Callithrix jacchus: one gene and its partners. The protein of the gene in region 2 interacts with the protein of the main gene of each other region in a pairwise test. Links are inferred from orthologs where the notes say so. Each region holds a gene or a part of one and is shown on either strand. Other genes may lie near its edges.

The links.
Region 1: the proteins of RAB3IP (region 2) and NAA10 interact in binary tests that used the Homo sapiens proteins (3 or more experiments, as listed by UniProt). The two-hybrid records come from large-scale screens. The link is inferred for Callithrix jacchus from reciprocal best matches to the Homo sapiens genes RAB3IP and NAA10.
Region 3: the proteins of RAB3IP (region 2) and TRAPPC6A interact in binary tests that used the Homo sapiens proteins (3 or more experiments, as listed by UniProt). The two-hybrid records come from large-scale screens. The link is inferred for Callithrix jacchus from reciprocal best matches to the Homo sapiens genes RAB3IP and TRAPPC6A.

The regions. Positions count from the first base shown.
Region 1 is NC_133524.1:149,837,262-149,846,588, forward strand, and holds the end of NAA10 (N-alpha-acetyltransferase 10), read right to left. Parts: intron 8,034-9,327; coding exon 7,988-8,033; intron 7,886-7,987; coding exon 7,770-7,885; intron 7,572-7,769; coding exon 7,527-7,571; intron 6,492-7,526; coding exon of another isoform or gene 6,355-6,491; coding exon 6,270-6,354; intron 5,754-6,269; coding exon 5,472-5,753; 3' UTR 5,406-5,471; downstream 1-5,405. Other genes in the region: ARHGAP4 (rho GTPase-activating protein 4), read right to left, coding at 3,612-3,747. UniProt on the Homo sapiens protein: Catalytic subunit of N-terminal acetyltransferase complexes which display alpha (N-terminal) acetyltransferase activity. Acetylates amino termini that are devoid of initiator methionine.
Region 2 is NC_133510.1:72,376,786-72,387,004, forward strand, and holds part of RAB3IP (rab-3A-interacting protein), read left to right. Parts: intron 1-126; coding exon 127-330; intron 331-3,299; coding exon 3,300-3,428; intron 3,429-4,667; coding exon 4,668-4,780; intron 4,781-8,773; coding exon 8,774-8,873; intron 8,874-8,959; coding exon 8,960-9,029; intron 9,030-10,219. UniProt on the Homo sapiens protein: Guanine nucleotide exchange factor (GEF) which may activate RAB8A and RAB8B. Promotes the exchange of GDP to GTP, converting inactive GDP-bound Rab proteins into their active GTP-bound form.
Region 3 is NC_133523.1:39,353,826-39,364,044, reverse strand, and holds the end of TRAPPC6A (trafficking protein particle complex subunit 6A), read left to right. Parts: intron 1-7,172; coding exon 7,173-7,240; intron 7,241-7,396; coding exon 7,397-7,514; intron 7,515-8,127; coding exon 8,128-8,211; intron 8,212-8,366; coding exon 8,367-8,460; intron 8,461-9,163; coding exon 9,164-9,195; 3' UTR 9,196-9,471; downstream 9,472-10,219. UniProt on the Homo sapiens protein: May play a role in vesicular transport during the biogenesis of melanosomes.

The DNA of each region.
Region 1 (9,327 bases), on a different chromosome or scaffold from region 2:
CCGCTGCCTTTCCTCATCACTGCCGGCAGCAAACACTGACTGGAAGTCATGTCCTGGTCCAGATCCGGGCATGCACACTGGCTGGTGTTGAGCCGGAAACGTGAATTGCAAGTCGATTGCATTGGTGGCTTTCCCGGCAGAGCTTTCAGATCTCAGTTCAGACAAACTCGTCAGCACACCCTGTCCTGATGTCCCCCTAAACTAGAGCTGGCCCTCTTCCGACCCCTTCTTGGCACCCTGCACTTTCCTTTTGCAGTGCTTATTATCATAATGGAAACTCTATGTCTCCCCCACTAGACCTGTGAGCCACTGTGAGGGTGGGGCACTGACGCCATCTGAAATCAGGAGAGTCCTCACTCAATCACTGTTTTTACTCCGGGTAAAAAGCCAGGGCTAGAGGGGCTGGAGGGACTGGAGGGGCTGGAATCAGGAAACATCTGGCCAAAGGCAAGCTGGAATCCATGTCTGCCTGAATTACAGAGCAGGGCCCCAGGCTCCACCAGCACTTCCTGTGAGCAAGACATTTGGTCTCATTTCTGCTGACAAGCAAAACAGAAGAGAAGATGGTCTCCAAAACCATGGCTATGCTAACCTTTGAGAATTTAGGGTGTCAAGACAGTGACCCCCGTTCTGTAGAACGGTAGGATGTTTTTCCAGGGACTGGGATGCAGACCCAGAGCAAGTGAGGAACCCTTAGACAGTCCTGCTCGAAACCCCAACTTTTCAGTGGGAAACCACTGACCCATATTTGCTGACTGAAGTTTTCCAAGTCTTTCAGCTTCATGGCATTTTGGGGAAGCAGGATGGAGATCATTACCTCCATCTGAGCAAGATGATGGTGAGGCTTGGAAAGCTGGCTCACCCTGTGTAGTCACCTCAAGCTGGCTCTGGACACAGGCTGCCTCTTCCAAAGGAGGACGACTGGGGCATATTTTGGTATAAATTGCTTGCACTGAATAATGAGGTTGGAACCTACATCTGTAGGTTGAAAGGCACTTCAAGGGTCATTGCATTCTATGTTCTAGAAGTTGTCGTGCTGTGTGACCATGGGCGAGTCACTGCACCTCTCTGAGTTTGTTTCCGTAATTGGCAAAATGGAGTGATTGAGAGTGATATGGAGGAGCTGCTGGCACTGAGCTGCTGCCCTTTTCCTTTGCAGGAGTTACCATGGCTAAGAATTTGCAAAGCTGACTTGCATGTGATTTGCACATGGGTGTTTATCAGAACCTGGAGAGGTTCAATTTCAGAAGGCTGAGAAGCCAGCCCTGCTGAATCTCTCAACCAAGACTCACTGCGCCAGCTTGACCCAAAGACAGTGGCCCTCACCTCTGATCCCCGTCAGTGCCAAAGGGAGGCAAAAGGTGCTGGGGCTCCAGGGACTGCAGCGGGGTTAGGGCCAGGTGATCTCCACCAATCCACTCACCTGGACTCCCTTACCCACTTCACTGTAGCTAACACACTGCCTCCTGGGGGCACGTTGGTGCATCCGGCTCCCCTTTACCAGCGGCCACCAGTGTCTCCACTGGGCCTTGGGTGAGGAACAGGGACCAAACGAAGGAAGAGAGGCAAGGAGAAAGGGAAGATGGCAGGCGGCTGAGGCCAAATGGGCGTGGGGAAGCAGGCAAGGGGCTCAGGCTCCCTCCTCCACCCCCCTCCAGAGGTCGCTGGGGAGAGCATCGGGCCCTGGGTCAGTGCGGGCACGCTTGGAGCGCCCTCACGACCTTGGGGTCTCCGCAGGATACGGGCCGGGAGCGCCCGGCGCCCTCTCACCTTTGACTTGCGTCTCATACTCAGCCTGTAGCCCCCGCTCCCGCCGCAGCTTCCCGTGAGCGGCCATGGCGGCCTGGCGGCCGCGCCGTCAAACCCCACTGCTCCCACGCGGTCGCGAGCAGAGCCGGCGCCGGGACTCGGGGGCGCTGCGGCCAGCACCCTGCGCGGGCTCCGCCCAGCCCCGCCCCCAGCGCCGCTCCAGGTGGGGCGGGGCGGCCCCGGCCCGGCACTGGCCGCGAGGGGCTCCCGGGGGCAGGACCCCCCCTTGCAGCCCCATTGTGCCCCGGCCTTGTCGTCCCCTCCCGCTGGGCCTGCACCTAGGCTGCCTTGTGCCGAAAGCCCCGCTGCCAAGCAGCCGGGGCGGGTGTGAGACCCCGAGGTAAGTGGGCATCCCTGGCTGCAATCCTGCCACCACCTCCAGAAGGCTGTCCGTGGTCACCACTGCCAGACTGCACCGTTCGCACCGGGGTCGCTGGCCCACAGTGCCCGTGGACATGAATAGCACTGCTGCCCCAGGTCCTGGACATCGGACGGGGTCGTCCCTTCCCAGGGAGCCTTGAGAGCTGGGGTGGGAAGTTTGGAGGGGAGGAGAAGGAAGGTCATCGCCAGAGAGCAGAACCTCAGCAGCTGTTGGCTGTTCCCTCCAGGCCCCCTTGGTGGGGGAGCAGGGTTTCCTCTGGTTCCCCTTCTGCTCAGCCCCACAATTTCCACATAGGCGGTTACCACTTCCTGCTGCCGGAAGAGGCTGCTCTGCCTCCCTTCCCCTGCAGCTGCACCTGCCCATCATAGGCCTGAGGGGGACAGCCCCCTCAGAGTAAGGTCTTAGCTACCCTGGGGGCAAGTCTGGGGCCTCCCTCATACAGAGGTGGTGGGGCCTTTCCTCCACCCACTACCGCAGGGCAGCAGCTTTTCTCGGGGAAATCGGGAAGGCAGGAGGCAGGAGGTTGTTGACATGCCAAGCAGACAACTGGCTTCAATTTGCTGGGAGGGAAATCCTTGGGATATAGACTTGGGGAGAGGGACAAAGCACTTGGGCACCAGGAGTGTGTCCCAAAAGCGGGCCTGTGGGCACCAGTGCAAGGGTCCTAAGCCTTTATGTGCACGGATGTCAGAGTCATAACCTTGACCTGCAGATCTGGGGAGGAGGGGAGGCTGTGCAGGTACTTCCTGCCTTTCAACTATGAGCAATTAATTCTCTTGCCCAGAAGGAAAATACACTCCCCTAGCTCCCCGCCCCCTTCTCCCAGGCCCTTCTCGAAGACGTTGTTGTGAGGGTCTGCAGGACCTGAGGCTTCGAGGCCTGGGAGCTAGCCAGACCCCGGTAGGCCCAGGACCTGGACTTCCAGCAGCTGGTCTCGGAAATGCTGAGGTTCGAGTCCTCCAGCCTGCGCCCCTTCCCACGGCGCGCACAGCCACAGCCACACCCCAACCTGCTCCTGCTAGGGAGACTCACACGTCCCGCCGCTGTCTCAGGCCAAGGGGAATCAGGGACCCCCTCCCCTCATTAGCTGACCCCAACACACCCTGCTCTTCCATCCAAGCCCCGACTGGTCCCCAAAGGTCCCTCCACACAGAGACAGGCACAGGGCTCAGGCAGGCAGAAAAGGGCTCAGCCCGTGCCTCAAACGCTCTCTTCACTCCTTTTCTCACTCCAGAGCTAGTCCTATGTTGCCCCATTCAGCCCGTGCTTTAGAACCTGAGTGTTGGGCCCTGGCTTTTAGGGCAGTTGTGTGGCATTTAAGGCCCTGAACTCAACTGTCACCTGCTGCTCGCTCTATTCTTAGCTCCACTGTTCCCCTTCAAGGCATCCTAAAGCCAGGCAGCCCGCAGAAAGCGCGGACCTGCCCGCGTGGCGACAGACGGAGCGGCGGACAGGAGGGCGGAGGGCGGGCCGAGCAGGGGAGGAAGAAGGGCGCCGTGTGAGCCCGGCCCAGCTTCTTTCCACCGGTGCCGGTGCGGGGCCGACGCAGTGCGCATGCCCTCCCTTCCCCCACGCCCTGCGCGCAGAGCTCGGCGCCGCCGAACCAATCAGAGCCTGGGAACGAAGCTTGCCGCCGGCTTGCGAACCGGAAGATACTGACGCCAGGCACGGGGCGGGACAGGGCGCCGCCTCTGGCCCATACAAAGGGAAGCCCACGTCTTGAGCCAATCAGAACACAGCCTCGCCCGAGCCGGGAACTGTAGAGCGGTGGGCGTGCGCAGGCGCGACTTTCCGGTCCCGGCCCCGCCCTGCCGAGCTCTGGGCTCGGCTTCCACCGCGGCAGGCTGCCTGCTGGTCACGTGCGACACACCAGCCAACGAGAACCGAGGTCCAGGCCTGTACGGCGAATTTTCAACCTGGCGGAGCAGCAGTGTGCCACCTGCAGTAGCAGAGATGTTGTGTATAGAGACGGCTCAGGAATACAGGGCCCGCTCAGAGACAAGTGATGGCTTTGCAGCCGGAGGGAATAGGAGGGAGCAAAGACACATGGAGTTTGGGTGACTCCATGAAAAACAGGATTTTGATATATATGTGTCCCTGGAGTGTGGTAGCATGATCTGGGATCACAGCAACCTCCACCTCCCAGGCTTAAGCGATCCTCCGGCCTCAGCGTCCCAAGTAGCCGGGATTACAGGTGTGCACCACGACGCCTCGCTGTTTTTGATTTTTAGTAGAGATGGGGTTTCATCATGCTGCCCAGGCTGGTCAACTCCTGAGTTCAACTGATCCGCCCACCTCGGCCTCCCAAAGTGCTGTGATTACAGGTGTGACCCACCATACCCAACAGCTGCCCAGTTTTGTATTCTGCATGAAACTGTAATGGGGGATACATAGCTTTATGCATTTGTGTAACCCCATAGAAACTGTACAACACAGACAAGGACCCTACTGTGAAACATGGGCTACACTTTACAATAACATATCAGTATTGGCTAATCAACAGAAACCAACACACCAACTAATACAAAATGTCAGTAGGAGAAACGGGGGGAACTGTACTAAAAATCAATTATTTTCAACTGCAAACTCAGGTTAGGGAGCAGACCCAAGAGGTATCATGGACTCACTGACCATTAGGGTAGCAGGGGAGGGAGGACTCAAGGACCACTGACAGGGCTTGAGCAACTGGGCATCTGGCTGGGTCATTACTCAGACAGGACAGCTGTAGACAGGCCCAATGAGCAGTTGGATGTCTACATCTGAAGCCCACGGGGTGTAGTGGAGCTGCTGTAGCCCAAAGCAAGTGTGATTAGGAGAGAAAAGGGCTGGAGGTGGGACACTCAAGAGCCAAGCAGAAGTACTGAAGAATGGGAGCCCGCTGTTGAGCTTTGAGCCTGAGCGGCCGAGGCTTGCACAAAACACATTCGGCGTGGCCGAGCAGGCCTCTGAGGCAGGGTCTCTCCCGGAAGTCTAGGGCCTCCTTCCCTGGGGCCACAGCTGCTGAAGGTTATGAGACTGGGGAGTCCCACCCCCAAGGCTCTCACAAAGCTCCTCCCTTCTACTCGGGCCTGGCAGGATGCCCTGGCTTAAAAGGCTGTGAGGTTCACATCCCCACCAGACAGAGGAGCTGGAGAAACACACCTTCTAAATGTGCAAGCGCACGTGCGCATACACACACACACACACACACACACACACACACACACACACAAAGTTCCCCAGTGCCATAGAGCGAATTTATTGTGAAAGCTCGTGGGGTGAGGAAGGGCCGGGGCAGGCTCTAGGAGGCCGAGTCGGAGGCCTCTGAGCTGTCTTTGACATCTGTGCTCTCTGTGGTCTCGCTGACCTCGCTGAGGTCCTTGCTGTCCCCTCCACTATCCTCAGCAGCCAGGCCCTTCTCCTCACGACAGGCCTCTCCTGAGTTCGGAGGTGAGCTGCCTTTGCTCTCCACCTTGTTCTCCATGGCGCCCAGCACCATGTGCCTGCCCTTCTCCTTCAGCTCCAGGTGCCGCCTCAGCTGCCGCCAGGAGCCCAGGGAGAAGCGGGAGCAAAGATACAGGGCCTAAGTTTCCAGACAAGGGGAGCCTGGACTTGTCGCTGGCTGAGGGGACGGGCATAATGAGAAGCAGCAGGGCTAGGAAAGACACACGGGACTGAGTGGGGACACCTGGCTGGAGCCTTGCCCACTGCTCCCTGGGTTCACTGACTACCATGGAGGCCCCCACGACCGAGTGCTGCCCCTTCAACAGCCCTGCCACCTTGGGCAGAACCCTGACTCAGAACTACCTCTGAGCAGGCAGGCCACCCACTGGTCCCAGGCTGTCCCACTTCCCTTCTAAAAGCCTCCTCCGTCTGCCTCTCCCACCACCCTCCAGGCTGCTGCTAGGCAGACAGCCTCCTCTAAAGCCCAGCCTAGGAAACTGAGGCCGTGAGTCCTGGCAATGTGGCCACAAGGGCTGGCGCCCAAAGTTGGTCTTGCTTCCAGCCACTGTCCCAGGGCTCTCAAGTGCCGCCACCTCCCCCCCGCCCACAGGGCCGACCCCACTGGCCTCGCTTGGCTAAACTGCAGCGCTCTCACCTCGTCCGCCATCTGGGTGAGATCCCGCTTCATGGCGTAGGCATCCTCCCCATCTGCATAGTATTTGGGCTCCACTTCACTGATCCTGGGGGCAGAGGGCAGAGAGCAAGGAGGAAGACCCATACCCAGGACACATCCTCCTCTGCTCCTGGCATCATGGCTACTGAAGCAAGGTGACATGTTTTCTCCCTGAAGGCTCCATCCTGAGACAGCAAGTCCAGCCTGAAAGAATCCTCCAGTGGCCCCACTTCCAGTAAAGGCTCCAGGTAACAGTGGCCCGCCCCACCCCTGTCCTGTTCCTGTTCTGTGTCCTTAGCCTGGCTACTAAGGATTCCCCTTCTGTGGTTTCTTGTGAGCTGAAGCCCTGAATTCAGCCTTCCCCTTCCCTTTCTGCCCTGCTTCCTATCCCTTACTGAGCTGCCTCACCACAGTGATGAAAATACAGGAACGTGGGTGAGCCCGTTTGAGGGCTGCATCCCTATGCAGCACAGCCCAGCCCGCACTGGGGAGGCACGCGTGCAGGCTCGGGTGGCCATGTCCTGGAAGGCTGGCCCTGTCAGACCTCAGACATGAGGACTGTTGACTTCACTATAAAGCAGTTTCCACCAGACATCCTCATCTGGGTCACAGATCCTTCCTGCCAGCACCCAGCCGAGGCCACCGCCCTTCCCAACAGTCAAACTGGTGCTGAGTGCAGTTAGCATCCCTCCACGGGCACACGGGTAGCCCACCCCAGCTTCACTTGCAAGCACTTTTTTCCACTGTCTACTGGGCACACTGACTGCCAGGTTCTCTCTCCTGGGCCAGGCAAACGGGGCCTCCGGGTCCTCGGCAGACCTGCCCCATCCACTAGGCTGCCTGGCCGCCGGCCCTTTCTTCCTGAACATGCATTCTCCTTGCTTCTGCTCTCTCTTAGATGCTTCCAGGCGCTTGGTCACACAGAGTCCTGCTCCTTAGCATCTGCTCATGCCAGAGACCCACACATCTCTATTCCCAAACATGACTAAACAACCCTGTGCCCTTCACCAGCCTCAGCCAGCATGGGCCAGAGCTCCTCCATCACAACACACATGGAGCACATTTCAGCCATCAGCCACCAAGTGAGTGGGGAGGCATCTTGGCAGCGCTGGGATCCACAGCCTCCTCCCCGTAGCTAGCCCACCCCCTGCCTGGAAAGCAGCTCAGCTGGTCTCAGCGGCCCTGACAGCCAGACCTGGGACCAGCCCCAACCCATTACAGACACCAAGATCTACTTACTGAAAGTTGAGGGTGTTGGAATAGAGGTGCAGGGCGGCCCGGTTACTGCAGGAGAACAAGGCACTGCTGAGCTGCACGGATTGGGCCAGGTAGGGTAGCATGTCCAGGCCCTGCCCCTCCCCTCTGGTGCCTCCTTCCCACCAATCCCACTTCCCGGGTCTTCACCAAAAGCCAAGGCCCCCAGGACTCCCGTCAAGGCAGCATCTCTCCCCTCAATCCCCCTTCCCTCAGCCCAGCTTCCACCTCTTCCTGACATGCAGGGAGACGTATTTGGCATTGAAGTTCTCTATCATCGCTCGAGAGGCCTGGTCCATCAGTTTCTGTGCCAGACCGAGGCGCCGATGGGAACGCTTCACAGCCTGGTGGAAGAGCAGAGAGGGGATGAGGGGCTGGGACCCTGAGGGCTGCCCCAACTAACCCCCACTTCCACCCCCACCAGAGCCTGGGTGGACTCTACAAACCAATGAGGTGATATGTCCATGGGGCACATCATCTGGGTCTTCTTCCCTGGAGAGAGAGGAAGGTGAGGCTGCAAAGGAGCTCTGTGTAGGCACCTCCACCCCCACCCCTGCCATACGTAGAGTGGACATGCAAACTCTAGGCTGGCCCTACAGCCACCTAAGACCCCAGCTGGGGGAGGGCTGGGAGCCTCTTGGATCAGCGCAGCTGATACTGCCACCCTCTGCTGCCTAAAAACCCCATGCATGCCGGGTGTGGTGGCACACGCCTAGAGTTCCAGCTACTTGGCAGGCCAAGAAAAGAGGATCGCTTGAGCCCAGCAGTTCAAGACCAGCCTGGAAAACATAGTGAGACACCATTTCCACAAAAAAAATTTGTAAATGAGCTGGGTATGGTGGCGCATGCCTGTGGTCTCGGCTGCTTGGGAGGCAGAGGTGACAGGATCATTTGAGCCTGGGAGGTTGAGGCTGTAAGTGAGCCGTGATCACGCCACTGCACTGCAGCTTGGGCAACAGAGCGAGACCCTGTCTCAAAAAAGAAAAAGAAAAAAAGAAATGAACCGTCAACCCAAAGACAAGGCAGAAGCTTAAATGCATATTACTAAGTGAAAAAGCAGCCAGTCTGAAAAGGCTGTATACGGTATGATTCCAATTCTGTGACATCCTGGAAAAGGAAAACTATGCAGACAGTAAAAAAATCAGTGGTTGCCAGGGGTTAAGGAGAGGGAGGGATGAATGCGTGGAACCCAGTGAAACTATCCTGTGATAATACAAGGTGGACACATGCCATTTGGTCAAAACCGTAAGGCTTACAACACAAAGAGACGTGCAGCAATGTAAACTGTTGGTTTAGTTCACAATATATCGGCCAGGCGCCGTGGCTCGCGCCTGTAATCCCAGCACTTTGGGAGGCCAAGGCGGGTGGATCACCTGAGGTCAGGAGTTCGAGACCAGCCTGGCCCACGTGGTGAAACACCGTCTCTAGTAAAAATGCAAAAATTAGCCGGGTGTGGTAGCACATGCCTGTAATCTCAGCTACTAGGGAGGGTGAGGCAGAAGAATCCCTTGAACCCAGGAGACAGACGTTGCAGTGAGCTGAGGTCATGCCACCGCACTCCAGCCTGGGCAACAGGGCAACAGAGCAACAGAGTGAGACTCGGTATCAAAACTAAACAAATAAATAATAAATCACATTCGTTTGTCACTTGTCACAAATGGATCACGCAAATCCAACATGCTACTAACAGAGGAAACTGGCAGGGATGGGTGCTGTGGGGTTCGATGAGAACTCCATGTCCTTTCTGTTCAACTTTTCTAAAAACTTTCAACTGTACTGAAAATAA
Region 2 (10,219 bases):
TATTACTCCACAGGAAACAGAAATTACTTTTCATCTCTGAAAGTGTTTTGACCAGATTGCTAATATTTAGCTGCATCTTTTATAAAACATATTTAGTGTATGTGACTATGTTGATTTTTTTTCAAGATTGATGTACTTCAGGCTGAAGTAGCTGCATTGAAGACACTTGTATTGTCCAGTTCTCCAACCTCACCTACGCAGGAGCCTCTGCCAGGTGGAAAGACACCTTTTAAAAAGGGGCATACAAGAAATAAAAGCACAAGCAGTGCTATGAGTGGCAGTCATCAGGACCTCAGTGTGATACAGCCAATTGTAAAAGACTGCAAAGAGGTAACTCGTCAAGGACTGTCCCCTCTGACTCTGTTGATACTTGTTAATTCTCATCACTGAGGTGTCAGTTATCATTTTGGCCAGCAAAATTTTTAGTACAAAATATGCAGTATTAAGATGGGGGAGGCTTTATCTAGAGCTGGCTGCTTTCAGGGATTCTTCAGTTCCATTCTCTACCTGACTGACCTTGGAGTACCTGCTGGAAACTTGGTAAGTTTCTTAATCTCAATATTTCATTAAGGGAGGAAACTGTTACATGTTGTCTAGAGGATAGTGGGTGGCTTTAGTGATCTGACTAGTCAAAATTTATTGCTAGAGTGCTCTTACAAAATATGAACATAAGAAATATGTGAAAATAAGATGATTTTCTTAAAGATCAGTGCATTTTTATTTAAATTTAGAGAGAAGAAGGAATTTTATATCAGTAAGGGAGTCCTAGAGTTAACTCAAATAATTAAGCAACAAAAAATAGAAATAATGGTAGCCTTACAACTCTGTAATGCTGAGGACATTTTGCTAAGTGAAATTTCAAGTTAGAGTAGAACCATTAGTGTTATTTCTGATCCCAAATTAGGTTTCGTAGTTCAACCAGTCTCAGTTATTCAGACACTTACAACTATGTAAGGCTACTGTTCTTATATATCCATAGTAACTAAAAATTTTAAAAAGAAATAATGGTAGTCTTATTATTTTAAAAGATGTGTTATAAAGATAACTGAAATATAAATATTTAGAGCTCTTTAGAGTAAAAATTTTTTTAAATTATTGCATACTATGAGAATGCATTTCTAAGAGGATTGATCAATAATTTATGAAGCTCTCCCATTTCTTCTTAGAAGCCATCTTTTACATTGTTGTTTCAAGTCCATCATTAATCTTGAAGAAATGTGTGTGCTTGTTAAATTTTTGTATGGAAACCAGGAGTTTATTAAATGGAATAACCAATGTTGTTAACCTGTTTTAATTGAATTGCATTTTGACTAATTTTTAATAAAAAAGATGCTGATAAGAGAGAAGTTCAGTACTTGGTTAGATCTGAATGTAACCAAATCCAAAATTTACATTGTTTTCTGTGAAATATTTAAGAAACTTTTTTTGTCCTGACTTTAATTTAAATTCTTTGGAATTTAGATAGCCTTATTAATTGCCTGGTCCAACTTGTATTTTTGCTGTTTCTCACTCAGTAAGTATAAGTAATTATGTACTTCACCCCATTTACACGAAAAAAATTTGAGTGTCTTCTCATGGAAAATTGTAAAGATTCATTTTTAATTTTTTGAAATCTTTTAAAATGTGTGTAGGCAGCATATAACTTCAAAATAATAATCTTTGCTTTCCAGGTATGAGTTATATTCTGATGTTTCATAAAAAGCTTGTCAAAAAGTCTTACTAGACAAAGGAATTACATAAATTTGACCTGTGTAAGTCTTATAAAAATATGTAACAATCTGGAAGAAAATGATGCATGTCTATGTTTTTGTAGAAAATATGGTGGAGTACTCAGTCAGACAAAAGCAACAGTTTGTCTTCTGTAACATTTAAAATATACATGCACGCTTGCAGACATAGATGCCAAGTGCGAGGCTTTGGGATTAAGCCACTTAGATTTGAATTTGGACTTTACTGCTTTCTTGCTATGCAATCTTGGGCAAGTTACAAATAGGGATCATAATATCTGCCTTGCACAGTTGTGAGGATTAAATGTTTGTAAAGTGCTTACAGTAGTTCCTGGCACAAGTCAGCTCTTAAAAAGTGGTTTAAATTACTGCCTTTGAACTAGAATCTTTCCTTAGAGTACCATTTACCTGCTTTGGGGTTTATGTCCATTTTCTCAGTAACTTTAGAAAGAAAATGCATTTGAAAATGTAAGTATTGCTTGTATGCTAATATTATTTATTTTTTTGCTTTTAGCTTTGATTCAAGGAATTTATTAATTGGGCTGAAAAAAAAATTCTTATGGAAATTGCCCTTATGCACCCTAAAAGGAAGTCTGTAGGAAAGCTTGGTTACCCTCAGCTCTTGGTTACATTCTTGTAGACTACTTGCACATCTGATTAAGCTATACTAAAGGCAGGCTATAGCTGTAGTGAGTGCATCATTTATGGTATGTCCAGTGCTTCTGGACTAGAGTGGCTTAGAGCTGTAGGATGAAGGAGACTGCTTTAGTTTGGGTGGCTGATGTCAGTGGAACTTTGTATTCCAGCAGATGGTATTGAGCTGGACTTAGGGAATCTGAGAATCTGTAAGGAAGAATACTTGGGGAAAATTTATTACAGAGGTGAGAAAGAGAGGGACAGCTGGAAGAGTAAATAGGAAGGCAGGTGCCAGCAGTGGATTATTACTGATGCCTAAGATGGTAGTTGCTGGATGCCCAAAATATGTCAAAAATATCTAAATAAATGTTATATTTTAAGGTAGTCAGTTTAGGAGGCTTTATGTGTTTTTTTTTAATCCTTCTGCAATAAATGTTTTGACAATTCTTTTGGGGATGCCTTCAAATGATAGTAGAACAATTAGTGTCATTTTTGATCCCAAACTAGGTTTCACAGTTCAGCCAGTCTCAGTTTATTCAGACACTTCAATTAATTAGGTTCCAGATTACTTTTTTATTATTTTTAGAAAAGACTTGTCATCATTTATTATAATCTGAATAGAGTGCCACTTGTGTCTTAAGAGGAACTCCAGCTTTTTTTGTGGGGATGGGAGAAGGGGCTCAGGGTGAGGGTAATGTTAGCATTATTGAACGTGGTAGTGGATGATAATAGAAAAAGGCAAATTGGCTATTTGGGAGTCATTTTTTAAAAGGAAAACTGCTACGAGGTATTATAACTAATCAAGAGTGGTTCAATTTATTATTTTAAATGAAGAGCATTTTTTAGTAATGTTTAAATTAGTTTTGATTTTGTAAAGTGGTTATGTTTGTACTTTTTAAAAAGTGTTTTTGTGTTTTCCTTTGGTTTGTTTGATAGGCTGACTTATCCTTGTATAATGAGTTCCGATTGTGGAAGGATGAGCCCACAATGGACAGGACATGTCCTTTTTTAGACAAAATCTACCAGGAAGATATCTTTCCATGTTTAACATTCTCAAAAAGCGAGGTAACTTTTTCATATTAGGAATACATTATAGTTGTTTCTATCTTTTTAAAACTAAATCGTGATATATATTTTAATATCTCTTACATAAATAAGTTATTATAAAATGTCATGTTTTACTATTTTTGCCATTCCATATTAGAATTATGATAATTTCTTGGCATTCAGTTACTGAACATCCTTATATAAGCAGAGACTCATTCACGCTAACATGTACTGCGTTGGAGTCAGGTATTAACTAGATATGGGGGATAGGGCTTATTTCTTGATTTGCAATCTAAGGTTCAGTGTAAGGGAAGTTCTCTGCACACCCAGTTAAAGGCATCTGTTGTGTCTATCTGTACATGATTCAAAATCTTATTTTTTTAACTTTAAAACAGGAAAAGTAATGTCTTTGCCCATGCCACAGGATTGTTAAAAGGATAAAATGAAGTAGATTAAGTAGATACAAAAAACTTAGAAAAATAAGGCAGTATAAAAATTTAAAGCTGTAATTTTAATTTGTTCTTACATGTGAAAGGTTTGTTTACAAATATCCTGTCAATTAAAGTATAAGAAATTTAATCCTAAGAGTCTTATGTTAAGCATTTCAAGGATTTAATTGTAATATTACTTATCAGAAGTTAAGATGAAAATTTTTCACACTTTTGATATGAATATGTGTTGTTCATTGTGGCTCTGTATCTGGTTTCAGGTAGGCCATTCAGTAATAGTAACCTTGACAGACTACAGAAGTTTGCCTGTTTCAAATCTAGTATAATTCCTGCCATCTTCATCTGGGCATTTAATGTTGGATAATTCAGCTAATTCTTTTGTAGACTCACTCTTGTGCACGTAAATACAAATTCAGAAAATATATAGCTAATTAATATATATTAGTGTGTTATAAATGATCAGTGTTTAAAAATACTGTATACATTTAGCAGAATAAAGCTTTAGGATATTAATTTTGAAGTGGTATTAACAGTAGATATTAATTGTGGGTAAAAAATGAACAGAAGCTGGAATTAATACCTTTAATCCTTGTCCAGATAATGAGGATAGTTATTTACCATAAGTGAATTGCCTTTCATAACAGTGTTTGGATTAGAAAATAAACCAAAATTGTGTGATTTTTTTCTTTTTCATTTGCTAAAGCAAAGCTAGTGGAACTTGGGAGAATAATTTATAAAATTAGTTTACTGTAGAATACAATTTTTATATTTTTCTGCCAGTGTAACATCTAATATATATTTTTTTAAGTTGGCTTCTGCTGTTCTGGAGGCTGTGGAAAACAATACTCTAAGCATTGAACCAGTGGGATTACAACCTATCCGGTTTGTGAAAGCTTCTGCAGTTGAATGTGGAGGACCAAAGTAGGTTTTTCCATGCATAACTTGTGAAAGTGACTGAGTTTTTGAAATGTTTTGGGTTGCAGTTATTTAGTTTTTCTGCTTTTAAATGTAGTTATATTTCCCTCAGATTTCTCTTTAGAGTCTGTGTAGCCCAAAGACGAATCCATGAGACACTGTGGAATATAGTATTTCAGATTTAGCATCAAAGGAGAGCGGTTTTAATTATGGATTGGTGCAAAAGTAATCGTGGTTTTTGCCATTGAAAGTAATGGCACCAAGCATGATTACTTTGGCACCAACTCAATGCAATAATATATATATATGATAGGACTAGAGATAGAAACCTGAGTGGTGGGGTGTGTGTGTGTGTGTGTGTGTGTGTGTGTGTATCTCATATTGTGACCTATCAGTGCATTGTGAAATCAGTTTAGTGGGTCATAAGCAGAATTTTTGTTTATTACACACATATATATAGCCATGTGTCCTGGGTTTCTGTATAAAATACTTCTCTCTGAAGGTGACCATCAAAAATAGTTTGGGAAGATACTGAGTTAAGACTAAATCATATCAATCATGAACGCAATGTACCAAAAAGACTTGCTGAGTTCTCTTCTTTCATATTATGTTTATAAAGGATTCTCACTTTAATAAACAATCAGTTTTATCTTTCATATGTGAATCTTACTTGAGAATTATAAACCTTCAGAGATAAGACTCCCACATTTCATAAGAGGACAGACTTTTTTCCCATCCAGTCCTATGAGGAGGAATAACTGAAAACAACAGTGCTTAACGCATCTGGCAAAGGTGAAAGGTTTTGCCTAAAACAGCATAATTGTGTCTTGCCTTTTATTTAGAAAATGACTTTGAAAGCTTTTGAGAAAGATGCTTATTAAATGCTAAAAGCCAGATCAATATAGGGAACTGGAAAGCCTGAGAGTGCTCATAGAAAGCATAACTGACTGCTGTCAGGGTTATTTTGAAGCGCGAAGAGGAAAAGACTGGTTGAGATGAACCAATGAAGTCTGTGTTAAAGCTGTTCTGGGGATTATGTATGCCTTTCTGTTCCTGTTAATGCTCGTTACATTCTCCACAAGATTACAGAATGTTGTTATTGAGGGGACGATTTGTTGGAGGGTTCCTAGTCATATATTTGATTTGCTCTGTAAGCCACATGTCCACCTCACTCCCCTAGTGCCACACCTGTACCACAGTAGCCTCTGAATTTTAGGGAAAGTATTTACATTCTTAAATTCTACAAACACAAGAGTATTTTTTTCTGATCCTTCCACCTCAAATATGGAGAATTAAATTTAATCATAGCAGTTTTTGTACTTTTAAAGTCTAAATTATGCCTCATTTTAAATATAGCATATGACAGTTTTTATTGTAGAGTTTAAAATTTGTGCTTGCATTATATATCACACATATACATGTGCACATATCATAAATGATAACAAATGGGGATATCAAACTAAAATGGATTTATAGTATCTTTAGTAAAATAATTATTAGTTTAGATTTAGAGAACAGTTTACAAAATTTAAGGATACTGTGCTTGTGGGAATCGGGCCAGAAATCAAGGCATTTGTGATGCATATCATTTGGAAAAAACTGAAGGAAGATAGTGTCTTCTTTAATGAAATGTGAAGTATGGCTCTGGCCGTAGCTCTTGTGAGCTGGAATGTGAAGATATTGACTAAATCAGTGGCACAACACTGAGGGCTTTGAAGAAGACAAGATCATTTCAGCTATGATTAGGTACTCTTCTTGAAGGGAGAGATTTTTGAAGCATAAGGGGAATTTGGATAAAGAGCAGTATATACAACTGAAGGCCTAGAAACAAGAAATCAAAGTGTGTTCAGAGGATGGTGAGCGTATGGAGAGGAAAGAGAAGATGTGAGAGATTTTAAGAAAGAAATGTTAGATTGGGGTGGGGGATGGGTAAAGGAGAAAGGAGTTAGAGATGTCTGACTGGAAGACTGATTTGAAGTGATTGTGGAAATTAACAGGAAAGACTTTGGTTTGTGGAAGGAGATTACAGGTCTAGATGTAGACATGTTGACATTTTCACATGAAAATGGCCAAACAAGGATTTGAAATCTTGGGTCTAGAGTTAAAGAGATATATTAATGTAGTGTATGTAGCATATTTGGAAAGAAAAATTGGAGTTGGAGGTCAGAGGTCTATTAGCATTGAATCTGTGGTTAACTACAAATATAGTAGTGTGTCCAGTTTACAAAATGGCTTAGAAATGAGATCTTTTAAGAAACACTATACACCATAGAATGCTATGCAACCATAAAAAAGAATGAGATCATGTCCTTTGCAGAGACATGGCTGGAGCTGGAGGCCATTATCCTTAGCAAACTAATGTAGGAACAGAGAACCAAATGCTACCTGTTCTCACTTACAAGTGGGAGCTAAATGATGAGAACACATGGACACATAGAAGGGAACTACACACACTGCAGCCTATGGAAGGGTGGAGGATGGGAAGAGGGAGAGGAACAGGTAGAATAATGGATACTAGGCTTAATACCTGGGTGATGAAATAATGTATATCACAACACCTATATAGCATATGTTTACCTATGTAATAAACCTGCACATCATGCACATGTACTCCTGAACTTAGAAGTTAAAAAAAAAACACTTATTGTTTTAAAAGTTGATACTTAAAGCCACCTTACCAGATCCATTTCAAAATTAAACTAAATAGTAGACCAGCAGGCATATATCTGTTTCCAGAAGAATAGTATATAAATTGATTTTTAGCAGCTTGATGGCACATTTTCCTCTTGTGTAGATTAGACTTTGGAAGTTCCACAGATTTCCAACACTTTGTGCTTTAAATTTCTAGATCTTCATCCTCCTCAAGCTAGTAGTTAGTGCTTTTAAATACTGTTACAGATCATTAAAGGAATTGCTAATAAAGAAACAATAAAGAAATAGCTTTTTGAAGAAAGATAGGAATTGGTTTGTGATTTTAATTGCCACCTCAAAAATTATCCTATTTACACATTGTTGTGTGTTTTCTTAATATAGAGGCACATTTGTATTATATTTAAGTATCACGAAAACATTGTTATTTAATGTATTTACTATATGATTTGTTCTGTCACATAAAATGCTACTGGCTACTCACTTTACTTAGAGCTATGCTAATTTTGCATTGATGGGGAGTGATAGTTGTATTAAGCCAGGTTTCTAGCTTAGGAGGGTGACAACTAGGTTGCTACAAGTCCAGCCTGATAGACATGCCAGCTTTACCTCACAGAGCCATAGAGTAACAGATGGGTCAGTCATTGAATGTGTGCTGTGTTCTTGGCACATGCTTGGTGCCAGGCATTTAAAGATGAATCAAAGCCCCTGCCCTCAAGAGGCTGATAGCCTAATCCCAGCCAGGAAGCCCTCATATAAAATTTTAGCTTTTTGTCATATGCAAATAGAAAGAGTGGTGTGAAATTTCTTGAACTTGTTATACGATGGTTAAGATTCAGTATTTTTGTAAGGTGGATTATTCCTTTGTACTTCTCCCTAGGTCCCACATTAAATGCATAATAGCAACCAACCAACCAAATAAACAAATACCCCATCTGGAAACTATTACCCTGCAAGCTGTCAACATGCTTTGAGACTTGAACAGACATCATGAGGATATTTTCAACTGAGAAGTTGAAATCCTGATGGAAAGCTGAGAGCTGTCCTGCAGCTGATTACTCATTTGTAAATTTGTTCCAAGATGGGACATATATGGAAAACACCTAGTTTCTGTTTCTAGAATTGTGGTTAAAGTTATGGCATTAAACTTATACTATTAATAGAATGTAAGTCTCACAAGGGCAGAGACTTTGTCCTTTTCATCACTGTAGCCCAGCATCTAGAACTGTGTTTGGTACATAGCAGGTTCTTAAATATTTGTTATCTAACTGAATGAGTAGGCAACTTGTACAGAAGGTAGGGGCAAATGCTTTTAATTTAAAAAAACTGATATTTATCATTATTTTACAGAAAATGTGCTCTTACTGGCCAGAGTAAGTCCTGTAAACACAGAATTAAATTAGGGGACTCAAGCAACTATTATTATATTTCTCCTTTTTGCAGATACAGGGTAAGTGACTTAACCATGAATTTTAATAAAGCTTGCTTTGACATGATACATTTGACCATTCATGACATTTTTTCCATTTGGCCTAGATCACTTCTGTATGTAACTTTTTTACATACATTCGATACATTCAGCAGGGACTCGTTAAGCAGCAGGATGGTGAGTGTTCTTGATTAATTAAAATCTTTACATAAAAGTTCAGCAAAAGTATAGGAAGTAGTAGTAATGCATGTATCAACTTTATTGTTGGTGCATTTACATTGAATTCCTTCTATAGTTCTAATAAAATTTGTGGAGAATTTGGGAACAAATGTCTTTAAACAAATATTTTAGTTTTATTTGCCTCATTTTACTCTTAATTTTGAATTTTAAGCAGGATTAGTTTTAACTCATCAGGGGTATGTGATAAACCAGATGGTAAATGTGAAGAGTTCCACGCTCACTGAATCGACTCTTTAAGAGATGAAAATGAGCAAGCCCACAGAGTGGTCTGATTTATTTTAATTGACGGAAACCAAGATGGAGCTAACAATTAAGTTTTCCCTGTATATTCTGCTTTCACGTATGAATTAATAAAGCAGTCATGAGGATAATTCTTAATGGCATAAAGATTATCATATTCTAAATCAGCAGAAATGTACAGGTGATATATCCAGGAGAACCAACCTCATGCAAGTGTGTTAATATTTTGTAATACAGTTTTATATGGTTTTATAACTATAAATATCAGACATAAAAACTAATAAGACCTGACAGCTCCAAAGGAGTATCTCTCGAGTACAAATGATTGTATAAAAATAAAAATAGCAGATAGTGGGCTAGGGACAAGTCTATGCCAGTTTGCATTTAAAGTTTTGCGAAATTTCCTTCTTTATATTTTTTAGGCACTGAAAATATTATCTTGCTTAAACACTAGTTGAAGCCTACCGTCTTTCAATCATGTAAACCAGTGAATCTTAAATCTCTGGAGAAATTAGTCATGCTGGTAAAAACTTAGTTTAGCCTTTCTCAAGTTCTGGTATGCTGAAAAATGTTATATTTCTTTAGAATCTTAGATAGTTAGATTTTGATGCCTAAAACAATAGGGATAAAACATGTTAACCTAGTAACCTAATTAATGTTGAATTTCGAAAGGCTTGGTAACATAAAAGCAGTCTTTAAATGGTATAATACTTTTTTTGACGTTAATAAAACTGAAATCTTTTTGAATACCTGTTGGGGGATAATATCATTTAAGCTAGAGAACAGAAAATTTATGTTAAGTATAGTTGTCAAGAATATTTTTGTTTGTTTAAATAAGAAGTTTGTAGGAAAGATGAAAGATTATTTACTTTATGAAAATAGGAAGA
Region 3 (10,219 bases), on a different chromosome or scaffold from region 2:
TGACTTGAAATGTAATCCCAGCTACTCAGCAGGCAGAGGTGGGAGAATCACTTGAGGCCCAGCGTTCAAGACTAGCCTGGGCAGCATAGCAAGACCCCACCTCTAAAAGAAATGTTTTAAATTAGCTGGGTGTGATGACACGTGCATATACCACCAGCAACTCGGGAGGCTGAGGTGGGAGGATTGCCTGGGCCCAGGAGTTCAGGGCTGCAGTGAGCTATGATCATGTCATGGCGCTGCAGCCTGGGTGACGAAGTGAGACCGTCTCTGAGAAAACATGGGGATTACTCATTGAACTATCAAAAATCTTTGCCCTCCTGGAGCTTCCTCATGGTTGGAGGAGACAGACAAGTCAATGAGTTAAGTATCTGGTACATTGTGTAACTGCTATGAGGAAGGTACAGGCCCAGGGAGTGTGCGTCAGCCTGGGGGCGGGTAGTCTTGTCTCCACACTCCATATCCTTACTGGCTTTCAAACCAGAAGCCCCAGAGTCCCCACACCTGCCTTTTCTCCCTCACCTGCAGTCCTCCACCAGGCTCTGGCCAGTCTGCCGTCTAAATATCTTTCTTGTGTGGCCCCTCCTCTGCCCTTGTCCAGTGCTTTCCCCCCTCCTCCCGGCTCATTCCACCTGTCACATCTTCACCATGCTAACTAACACCTGTTCATCCTTCGGATCTCAATTCAACTATCCTTCCCCAGGGAAGCCTTCCCTGCTCCCGAGTTTGGATCTCCTTTATACATTGTCTGGTCTCCTTCTCCCACTTTTTTCTTGATAGGCTTCATCACACTCAATAAGAATGTATTTGATTTTTTTTTTTTTTGAGATGGGGTCTTGCTCTGTTGCCCAGGCTGGAGTGCAGTGGCACGATCTTGGCTTACTGTAACCTCCAGCTCGTGGATTCAAGCTATTCCCCTGCCTCAGCCTCCCAAGTAGTTGGGATTGCAGGCATGCATTACTTCACCCAGCTAATTTTGTATTTTTAGTAGAGATGGGGTTTCTTTATGTTAGATGGGGTCTGGCTGGTCTTGAACTGCCAACCTCAGGTGATCTGCATGCCTCAGTCTCCCCAAGTGCTGAGAATACAAGCGTTAGCCACTGCCCCTGGGCTTGATTTACTTTTTTTTTTTTTTTTTGAGATGGAGTTTCGCTCTTGTTACCCAGGCTGGAGTGCAATGACGCGATCTCGGCTCACCACAACCTCCGCCTCCTGGGTTCAGGCAATTCTTCTGCCTCAGCCTCCTGAGTAGCTGGGATTACAGGCATGCACCACCATGCCCAGCTAATTTTTTGTATTTTTAGTAGAGATGGGGTTTCACCATGTTGACCAGGATGGTCTCGATCTCTTGACCTCATGATCCACCTGCCTCAGGCTCCCGAAGTGCTGGGATTACAGGCGCGAGCCACCGTGCCCGGCCCGATTTACTTTTTTAAGAGAGTCTTGCTCTGTCACCCAAGCAGGAGTGCTGTGGCACGATCGGAGTTCACTGTAGCCTCACACTCCTGGGCTCAAGTGATCCTCCCACCTCAGCCTCCCAAATAGCTAGGAGTGCAGGAGCGCACCACCATGCCCTGCTTTTATTTTTTGTAGAGATGTGTTCTCACTGTGTTACCCAGGCTGATTTTAAACTCCTGGGCTCAAGCAATCCTCTGGCCTCAGCCTCCCAAAAACTCACACCTGGGATTACAGGTGTGCGCCACCACGCCCTGCCAGGATGCTTCTGAATTGTGTATCTGTATGATCCTTTGATTCACATTCGTCTCCCCCTGCCAGAATGCACTATGTGTGACGGGCCTGGGTTTGTGTTGACCACCACCGTATGCCCTGGCTCAGAGCATTCCTCTCAGTCTGTGTAGTGAAGAGCTGAGGCGCCGCCACCTGCTCTCCGAGGCCAGGCCTGAGACGCCCCAAAATAGCCTGCTGGGCCAGGCCTCCATCCACCATGCCCTCAGAGTAGTGGGTCATGAGAAGGGGATGTTGAGGAGGTGAATGCACACCCTGTCCCGTGGCGGGCGGGGATGCGTGGGAGCTGGGGGCCACTGGTTTACAAGCAGTGAGGCTGCTCCCTCCCTCCCCCATATCAGTGCTTCTGCGCGCTTTCATAGCTCTGCACTCTTGATGTTTGATCTTCTGATGACCCAGAGAGGTCGGCATGGTCCTCCCACTTTATAGATGGTGCGACGGAGGCTTTGATGGATGGAGTTCCTCGCAAGCGGCAGAGTCAGGAACGCGACCAGGCCTCCCGCTTCCAAAGCCCATGCTATAAACTCTCACTTGCATTTCCCAATACTTGCCCTGGGAGGGATTTTAATGGGTTTCTGTGGTCAAGCAAGTGTGAGAAACTGGCTTGCTCAGCTCTGCTCACCGCCGGCCCTTCAGAGTACACGAATGTGCCTGGGACCTTGGGCAGGGGTTCCCTACCCAGCTGCCACTGAGCGTCAGGCCTCATAAAACTCCCAGGTGGCTCTCGGGTGCAGCCAGGGGCAAGAACTATGTAGTTTCCCCGCACTCCTTCCTTCTGAGGAGCCCCGTCTTTCAGGGGGCCTCATGAGAATTGGCTTCACTTCTCCTTTCTCTTCATTGGTCCCAACTCTTCATTCCTTCTCTTTGGCCCAAAGCGTTCCTCTGAACCAAGCAGGCCTCCCATTGTCTGCGGACGTCTGTCCAATACTGGCACAGTGTTTACTGGCTAGTCATCACAACAGCCCTCCCGATTCACAGAGAAGGAACTGCCTGCTTGGGAGGCGAAGGGATTTCCTGAGGCCGTGCAGCGGGAATCAAAGGCAGAGTCAGAACCCAGGCTTCTGGGTAGCGCAGGCCTGCCTTTCCCACCAGCTCCAGACCTCCTTGAGGACAAGGATGGTGACTCCTTCATCTCTGTCCCCAAAAGCACCGGTGCCCAGGAGCCACAGCCAGAGTGTAGGGCTTTTGCGGCCTCCTGTCTTACGAATACGGTGGTTATTTGTGGCCGTTCTCCTGTGCTGTCACAGGATTTGAAGTGGGTGACTGGCCAGAGGCGCTGGGGGCCTTTGTTCCCGAGGCAGGAGGAGCCCTTGGAGGAAGCAGCGGGGGCTTTTCTACCCCAGAGGCTTTGAAGACAAGGGAAGCCATTGGGCAAAGAGAGCATTCCTCTGAGTCTGTGTAGTGAAGAGCTGAGGTGCCGCCACCTGCTGTCCCAGGCCAGGCCTGAGACCCTCCAAAATAGCCTGCTGGGCCAGGCCTCCATCCACCATGCCCTCAGAGTGCACTTGGGCAGCCCTTTCGGAGGGCGTGGGGCAGGCAGATCAGTCATCAGATGGTCCCTGCCCTCGGCCCAGAATGCAATGCTGAGCCTGTGAGGCTGGGAGCCCCAGGCGAGGCCCTCCTGGGAACTGGGCTCTATCCCGAAGGCGGTGGGAGCCACAGCAGGGTTTAAACTGAGGTGCGCCTGGCTCAGATGTATATTCTAGAAGGACCTCCCTGGCCACAGGAATGGACTGAATGGAGGTTGGCCTGGGAAGAGCCCCAGCACTGTAGGAGCTTAGGGCAGAGGCTGTGGTGGGTAAACCTGCAGGGCTGAGCGGGGACAGGATGGGAGATCTGAGCGGGCACAGGCGGGATCTGGGCTGGAGCAGGACGCCTTGCTGGATGAAGGAGGAGAGTTGAGGGCGACAGCCGGGAGTCATGCCGGCTTCTCGCGCCCACCCCTCACTCACCTGTGTGCCAGCACTTCTCTCTGTGCTCTTCTTAAGGCAGGAACCAGGGTTCCTGCTGCTTCCCTGAGTTCCCCAGCACACCCCGGGCCTCGCAGGGAGTGGCTCTGCAGGTGGCGGTTGAACAGGGTCAGCCTCTGCCCAGGAGCCAGCAGGTGCCTGGAAAACAGCCGAGGGGCGGGGCAGACAGGAGAGACTGGAAGGAGGCAGCATCGGCCCCCACCGCTCCCTCCTGCTTCAGGGCAGAATGTGCTTCTACTAAGCCCTGCTGCTGGTGAGGGTCCCACAGGTAGCTGCCGTTAATGTTATCCTCGTTTGAGTTGGGTGTGGTGGCTCATGCCTGTAGTCCCAGCTACTTGGGAGACAGAGGTAAGAGGATCACCTGAACCCAGGAGGTGGAGGCTGCAGTGAGCTGAGATCCTGCCATCGCACTCCAGCCTGGGTGGCAGAGTGAGACCCTGTCTCAAACACAAACAAAATGGCCCTCTGTTTACACACGAGGAAACTGAGGCCCAGTCAGCCACTGGCCCAGGGCCCACACCTGGTAAGTGCTGGGGCCAATCTGGACCCGGGCAGGTGGCTCTATACCAGTGCTGGTGTGAAGGACCCAAGCAGAGTCTCTTCCCACCGTCTCTCACACACCTGCCCGTCTCCGGCAGTCATCAGACCCTTCCCTGAGCTCCTGCTCTGTGGCTGCCCCTGCCGTGCCTGAGGACACCAGAGGGAGCGCCAGCGCAGTGCAACAGTGACAGACAGTGTCGCTGTCACCCATGAGAGCAAGGCCTGCCAAGGGGCAGGGGAAGGGGCAACTTGGCCTGAGATACGGGCAACCTCTGCTCAGATCCCCCATTCCTAGCACTCCCCACCTCTGCCAGGCCAATCGCCATGACTGTTCACCCCCCACGCACTCCCATCTAGACCTGCTGGGGTGTGAAAGACAGCCCTGTGCTCAGGATGCCATGGACAGGTTCCCAGTTTCCACCAGTGAAATACAGCCTCCTTGTGAGGCTGGAAAGGTAAAACAGCTGTAGAGAACACCTGGCTCAGCGCAGCAGCTCACGCCTGTAATCCCAGCACTTAGGCTGAGGCGGTTGAATCACAAGGTCAAGAGTTTGAGACCAGCCTGGCCAACATGGAGAAACCCTGTCTCTACTAAAAACACAAAAAATTAGCCAGGCGTGGTGGCACACACCTGTAATCCCAGCTCCAGAGGCTGAGGCAGGAGAATTGCTTGAACCCAGGAGGTGGAGGTTGCAGTGAGCTGAGATTGCGCCATTGCACTCCAGCCTGGGCGACAGACAGAGTGAGACTCCTTCTCAAGAACAACAACAAAAAAATGCCTGGCACACAGTACGCGGGTCCTGGCATAACATTTGTGTTGTGACGTTGATGAGAAAAGAATATCGATTCCGGGGGCTGCTGTCTGGCTGGTGTTTGCAGGTTCTCCCTCTGCTGGTGCAGGTTCCTCTGGGCAATCCTTGGGATGTGTCCGCTGGGTGAGCTGCGGGGTCTCCACGGGCCATGAGTGAATGTGGGCCTCAGTGCGCCCTGTGATGGGATGGCATCCTGTCCAGGATCCGTTCCGGCTTTTGGCCCTGCCAGGATGGGCTTTGGCCCCCCAGGACCCTGAGCTGGTAGAAGTGAGTAAATTGGGTTACTTGATTTTTGTTTATTTTTTGGGACAGGTTCTCATTCTGTTGCCCAGGCTGGAGTGCAGTGGCTCACTGCAGCTGCGACTTCCTGGGCTCAGGAAATCCTCCCACCTCAGCTTCCCAAGTAGCTGGGAAATGGGTGCATGCCACCACACCTAGCTAATTTTTGTATTGTGTTTTTGAGACGGAGTCTTGGTGCACTTTGTCTGATCAGCCTGTCTATTAAGTCCCACCCACATGGCAAGCCCTGTGTCGGCTGCAGAAGGCTGGATGTGAATTGGCCAGCCAGGGTCCCCGCCTTCACAGAGCTGCATCCTTATCCAGTGACAGTGCGCAGTGGGCAGGGCTGGGGACGCAAGCTGGAAGGGAGGAAAGGAGAGAAGGGAGCCAGTAGAAAGGCCCAGAAGTCTGAGCCTTCCTGACCAAGGAAAGCAAGTATTAGGGGGCGGCAGAGAGGGTGATGGAGGCAGCTGTGGGGGGCAGGCTGCAAGAAGCCTTCTTCAGACGCCCTCCAGGCTGGGACACCCTCTCCAGGGCTGGAGCCAAGCGGAGAATTCCCGTCCCCATTCCAATGGCGATGGTGGTGGTACAGCCATTCCCGGGGGAAGGTTGTGGTTGAGGGCGGGAGAGGGAGGGCTGGAGGGCTCAGGCCCGCTGACTGCAGGCTCCTGAGAGCAGCTCACGGTTCCACACCCGCCTCTCTTCCATTCCCCAACTTCTGCTCTGCTGGGCTTTCTCTGAGAAATCTGGTACCTCATGCCCAAGCCATCCTGGGGTTTCTCGTGCCCCCCAGTCTGGGCCTCCTCCCTTCCTCTGCAGTGGATCACCTGAGTAAAAAAGTTTAAAAAATCCATGGCCAGGTGCAGTGGCTCTCGCCTGTAATCCCAGCACTTTGGGAGGTCAAGGCGGGCGACTAATTTGAGGCCAGGAATTCAAGACCAGCCTGGCCAACATGGTGAAACCCCATCTCTACCAAAAATACGAAAATTACTCGTATGTGCTGATGTGCACGCCTGTAATCCCAGCTACTAGGGAGACTGAGGCAGGAAAATCCCTTGAACCCAGGAGGCAGAGGTTGCAGTGAGTCAAGATCGTGCCATTGCTCTCCAGCCTGGGCAAAAGAACAAGTCAGTGTCTCCAAAAAAGAAAAATCCATGAGCACTTCTCCAGCCGTGCTGTCCACACATAGGCACGTAGGCAAACAGCACATGCAGCCCTCCTGCCACGCCTGCTGCCTGGGGCCTGCCTCTGTCAGCACAGTCCCCTCCCATGTGGACCCTGGCCTGCCCTTCCCAAGCACCCATGGGAAGATCTGCCTGTCCTGAGCTTCCTTCCACGTGTCCACCCAGGGATCTTGGCCAGTACTATAGGGGTGACTTCCATAGCCCCCTTTCCTGTAGCCCAACCTCCAGGCCTTGGGCAGGTCACCTGGAGCCTCTTGGTGTACTCACAGCGCCCAGGTCCCAGGGCGTTGTGAGGGTTCACACTGAAAGCACTTGCAGTGCATGACCGGTGTTAGCAGGAAGAGTCATACGGGGGAAGGGGTCTTGGGGAAGACCTCCATTGTTTCTGAAGGAAGCAGGATCTGGTCCTTGGATCCTGACAGTCGGGATCCAGAGAGCCTGCGAGGTCTGCAGAGGAGGGTGAGGGAGCCCGGGCACCCTAGAGGCCTGCCCCTGCCAAGCTGTGCTGGAACCCATCCCTGCTCACCCCTGAGTTGACGGGCACCAGCAAGTTGGTTTTCAGGTCCCCTTGCAGGTATCCCCCTGGGTGGCCCTGTGTTCGAGGTGGCCAAGGGCCCCTGAGCTTCTTTCCCCTGGCCTTCTAGGGACAGAATATGAACCTGTCGGTCCTGGAGAGTGTGGGCTTCCGCGTGGGCCAGGCTCTAGGCGAGAGGTGAGAGCGGCCCCTCCTGCTCTCCCCCAGCCTGGCTGGCAGGGTTGGGCAGGCCCCAGGCGGGGAGGGTTACATTGCTCCATGTGGGAGTCAGGCCTGGCTTCCTCCCTCTTCCTGGCCTGGCCCCACATCCTCAGCCTGGCACTGCCCCACCAGGCTACCCCGAGAGATGCTGGCCTTCAGGGAGGAGCTGGATGTCCTCAAGTTCTTGTGCAAAGACCTGTGGCTGGCCATATTCCAGAAGCAGATGGACAGCCTGCGCACCAATCACCAGGTGGGAGCACCCAGGCCTGCCAACCCGCCCAGCTCCCTCCCAAGGGTGTGGCCAGGAGAGTGGGAGGGGAAGCCCCAGTGCCAGAGCAGCAGGTCCCGGGACCTGCCCAGAACTTTCCTACCAGTGGCCGCAGCCCTTAGTGGGTCTCTGATCCTCTAAGGGAAGCCAGGAGGCTGCACTAGGGTATAGGGGGTGTTTCCAGAACCTCCCCAGCCCCGCCTACCAGGAGTGAGCCATCCATAGGCAGAAAGCCCCTGGTGGCCTCCTGCCCTCTCCCCAGTGCAATGCCACTTGTCCCAAGCTGGTCCAGTCCCCCAGTGAACACCCACGCTGTGCCGCTCCTCTGCCGCTTCCTGGGCTGGGTCCCCAGTTTTTCTGCACAACCCTGGGAGGTGGGGGCGGGACCCACACTCCCCAGGGCAGGAGTACTCAGCCGGTCAGGAAGCCCCAGGTACAGAGCACTGGAGGCCAAGGCTGTGACTCTAGCAGTTCTCACAGATGGGGCCTTCCCAGCCTCAGCCCAATCTAGCACTCAGGCTGGGTTCCCACTTCCCCTCCCTGCACTTCAAATGTACGGGCCCCACCACCACCCATGGCCTCTCCTCTCCCCCAGGGGACCTATGTCCTGCAGGACAACAGCTTCCCCCTCCTCCTCCCCATGGCTGCTGGCCTGCAATATCTGGAGGAAGCGCCCAAGGTATGGGAGGGAGCTGGGGCCTGTCCACACCTCCCTTCCTACTGTGTACTCGGCCCCAACCCCATGTCAGGCCTCTCCCCAGGCCTAAGGGGTACCCCAGACCTCAGGTGCCAGCCTCCCCTCTCTTCCCACACTGGTCTGTGTCCCCTTTCCAGTTCCTGGCCTTCACTTGCGGCCTCCTGCGCGGCGCCCTCTGTACCCTGGGCATCGAGAGCGTGGTCACCGCTTCCGTGGCAGCCCTGCCTGGCTGTGAGTCATGGCGGTGGGGGGGGCGGGATTCTTCTCATTTTTTGAGTTGCTGGGGGCCTCGGAGCTCCGGCTTGCTCCTATATTGGTGCTTGGGAGGCAGCCCCAGGCATAAGTCACCTGCTCAGCCACACAGCAGGTGCAGGCCCATCTGTGCCCCTGGCCCCATGACTTCCCCAGCGCTGCAGAGAGAACCGTCTGGCACAGTTCTGGAACAGAGCGTCCTCCTGGGGAGCAGGCTGGGGGCCGGAGTGCAGTGTCTGGCGGTGTGAACACCTCCCCCAGCACAGGAGCCCAGGTGGACGTAACAGGAGTCATCCTCGCTGATACTTGGCTCCTGGGAACTTGCAGCCTGCCTGCTGGGGTGTTCTCTGTCAGACAAGCTGCAGCCCCATTCCTGTCTGGGGACAGCCTGCCCAACCACTTCCCCCAGTTATTTTCCCTCTGCCACTTCCCCAGGCCCACTCATGGGGGCCCCAGTGGGTAGGACTGAGGAGGCATACCACAGAAGCCTGTGCAGGGCCCTCATACTCCTGGTTACCCACGCAGCCCAGGGATCCAGGCCACATGGGCGGGGGGAGGAAAAAGCCCCAGCCCAGCCCTTAGGCTGTCAGTGTGGGACAGGGTAAGCCCCTGAGAGCCATCCAGGTGTCCTCTGCGTCTCCCTCATCCCAGCCTCCAGCCTAAGCCAGTCCTTCTCTTCCAGGTAAGTTCCAGGTGGTGATTCAGAACTCCTGAGCCCACCCCACACCTGCTGAGCACACTGCTGCCCCCACCCTCACTGGCCTCAGGAGACAGTGGCTGCCTTGGACCCTTGGCTGCTGCATTTGGGGGGGGCTGGTGCTAGGTATCCCAGGCCCTAGGGGTCACATGTACTCAGGAAGTGGGTATCAAAGCAAGGTGGGGTGTCACAGGAGGCAAAGAGATGCCAGCCGTGATCTGGACTGGGGTGGGACTCCTGCCTCAGCAGTGTCACTGCCCAGCAGGTATTCAATAAAGGCTGTGTGTGTGGAATCCGACTCGGAGCAGTGGGGAAGGATCAGCGGGGCGACCGTCACAGGGCCTGCAGGGGAGTGGGCACCCTCTCTGGCCCCCATGCCCTTCAGACCCTCCCCTGCCAGGCCCAACTCCGCTCCCTCCCTCCCCAAACTCCTGGCAGAGGGATGCTGGCCCCCGGCACAGGCGGCCCTGTTAGTATCTCTGCCAAGTCAACAAGTCTGGGGCTGCCCTCTGCCTAGCAATGTATATGGAACAGAGCGTCTTCCTGGGGAGCAGGACTGGGGGCCCCTGGAGTGCAGGCAGGGGTGGGCTGGAGAATGCATGGGGGTTGGGGGAGGCAGGCACCCTCATGCACACATATGGCTCCTACCCGCTCCTGATGCCTGTCCTTGGGCAGTGACCTTTACACTGCCCCCTCCTGCCATGCTCCCATCTCTAGCATCTGGGGATACCTGGGCTTCGCCACCCACTGCCTGACACGGGTTAAGTGCCCAGCCTCAGAGCTGGCAACTGAGGCTGGGAGTGACCCAAATGCAACGAGAAACGGTCCCCTTGCTAAAGACACTCCCCTGTAGAGTGCGGTCCAGTCACCCCATCAGCCCCTACTTGGGTCATCCCTTCCCAGCCCACCTGGCTGAGAGCGGCCCTGATTTGCATCTGCCACTGCAGTGCTGCCCCTGCCTGGCCTGCTCCCCAAATTCCTGCTCCCTCTAGTGTCCAGCATCTTCCTGGCCATGTGTCTTATTGTTTACCTTGGGCCAGG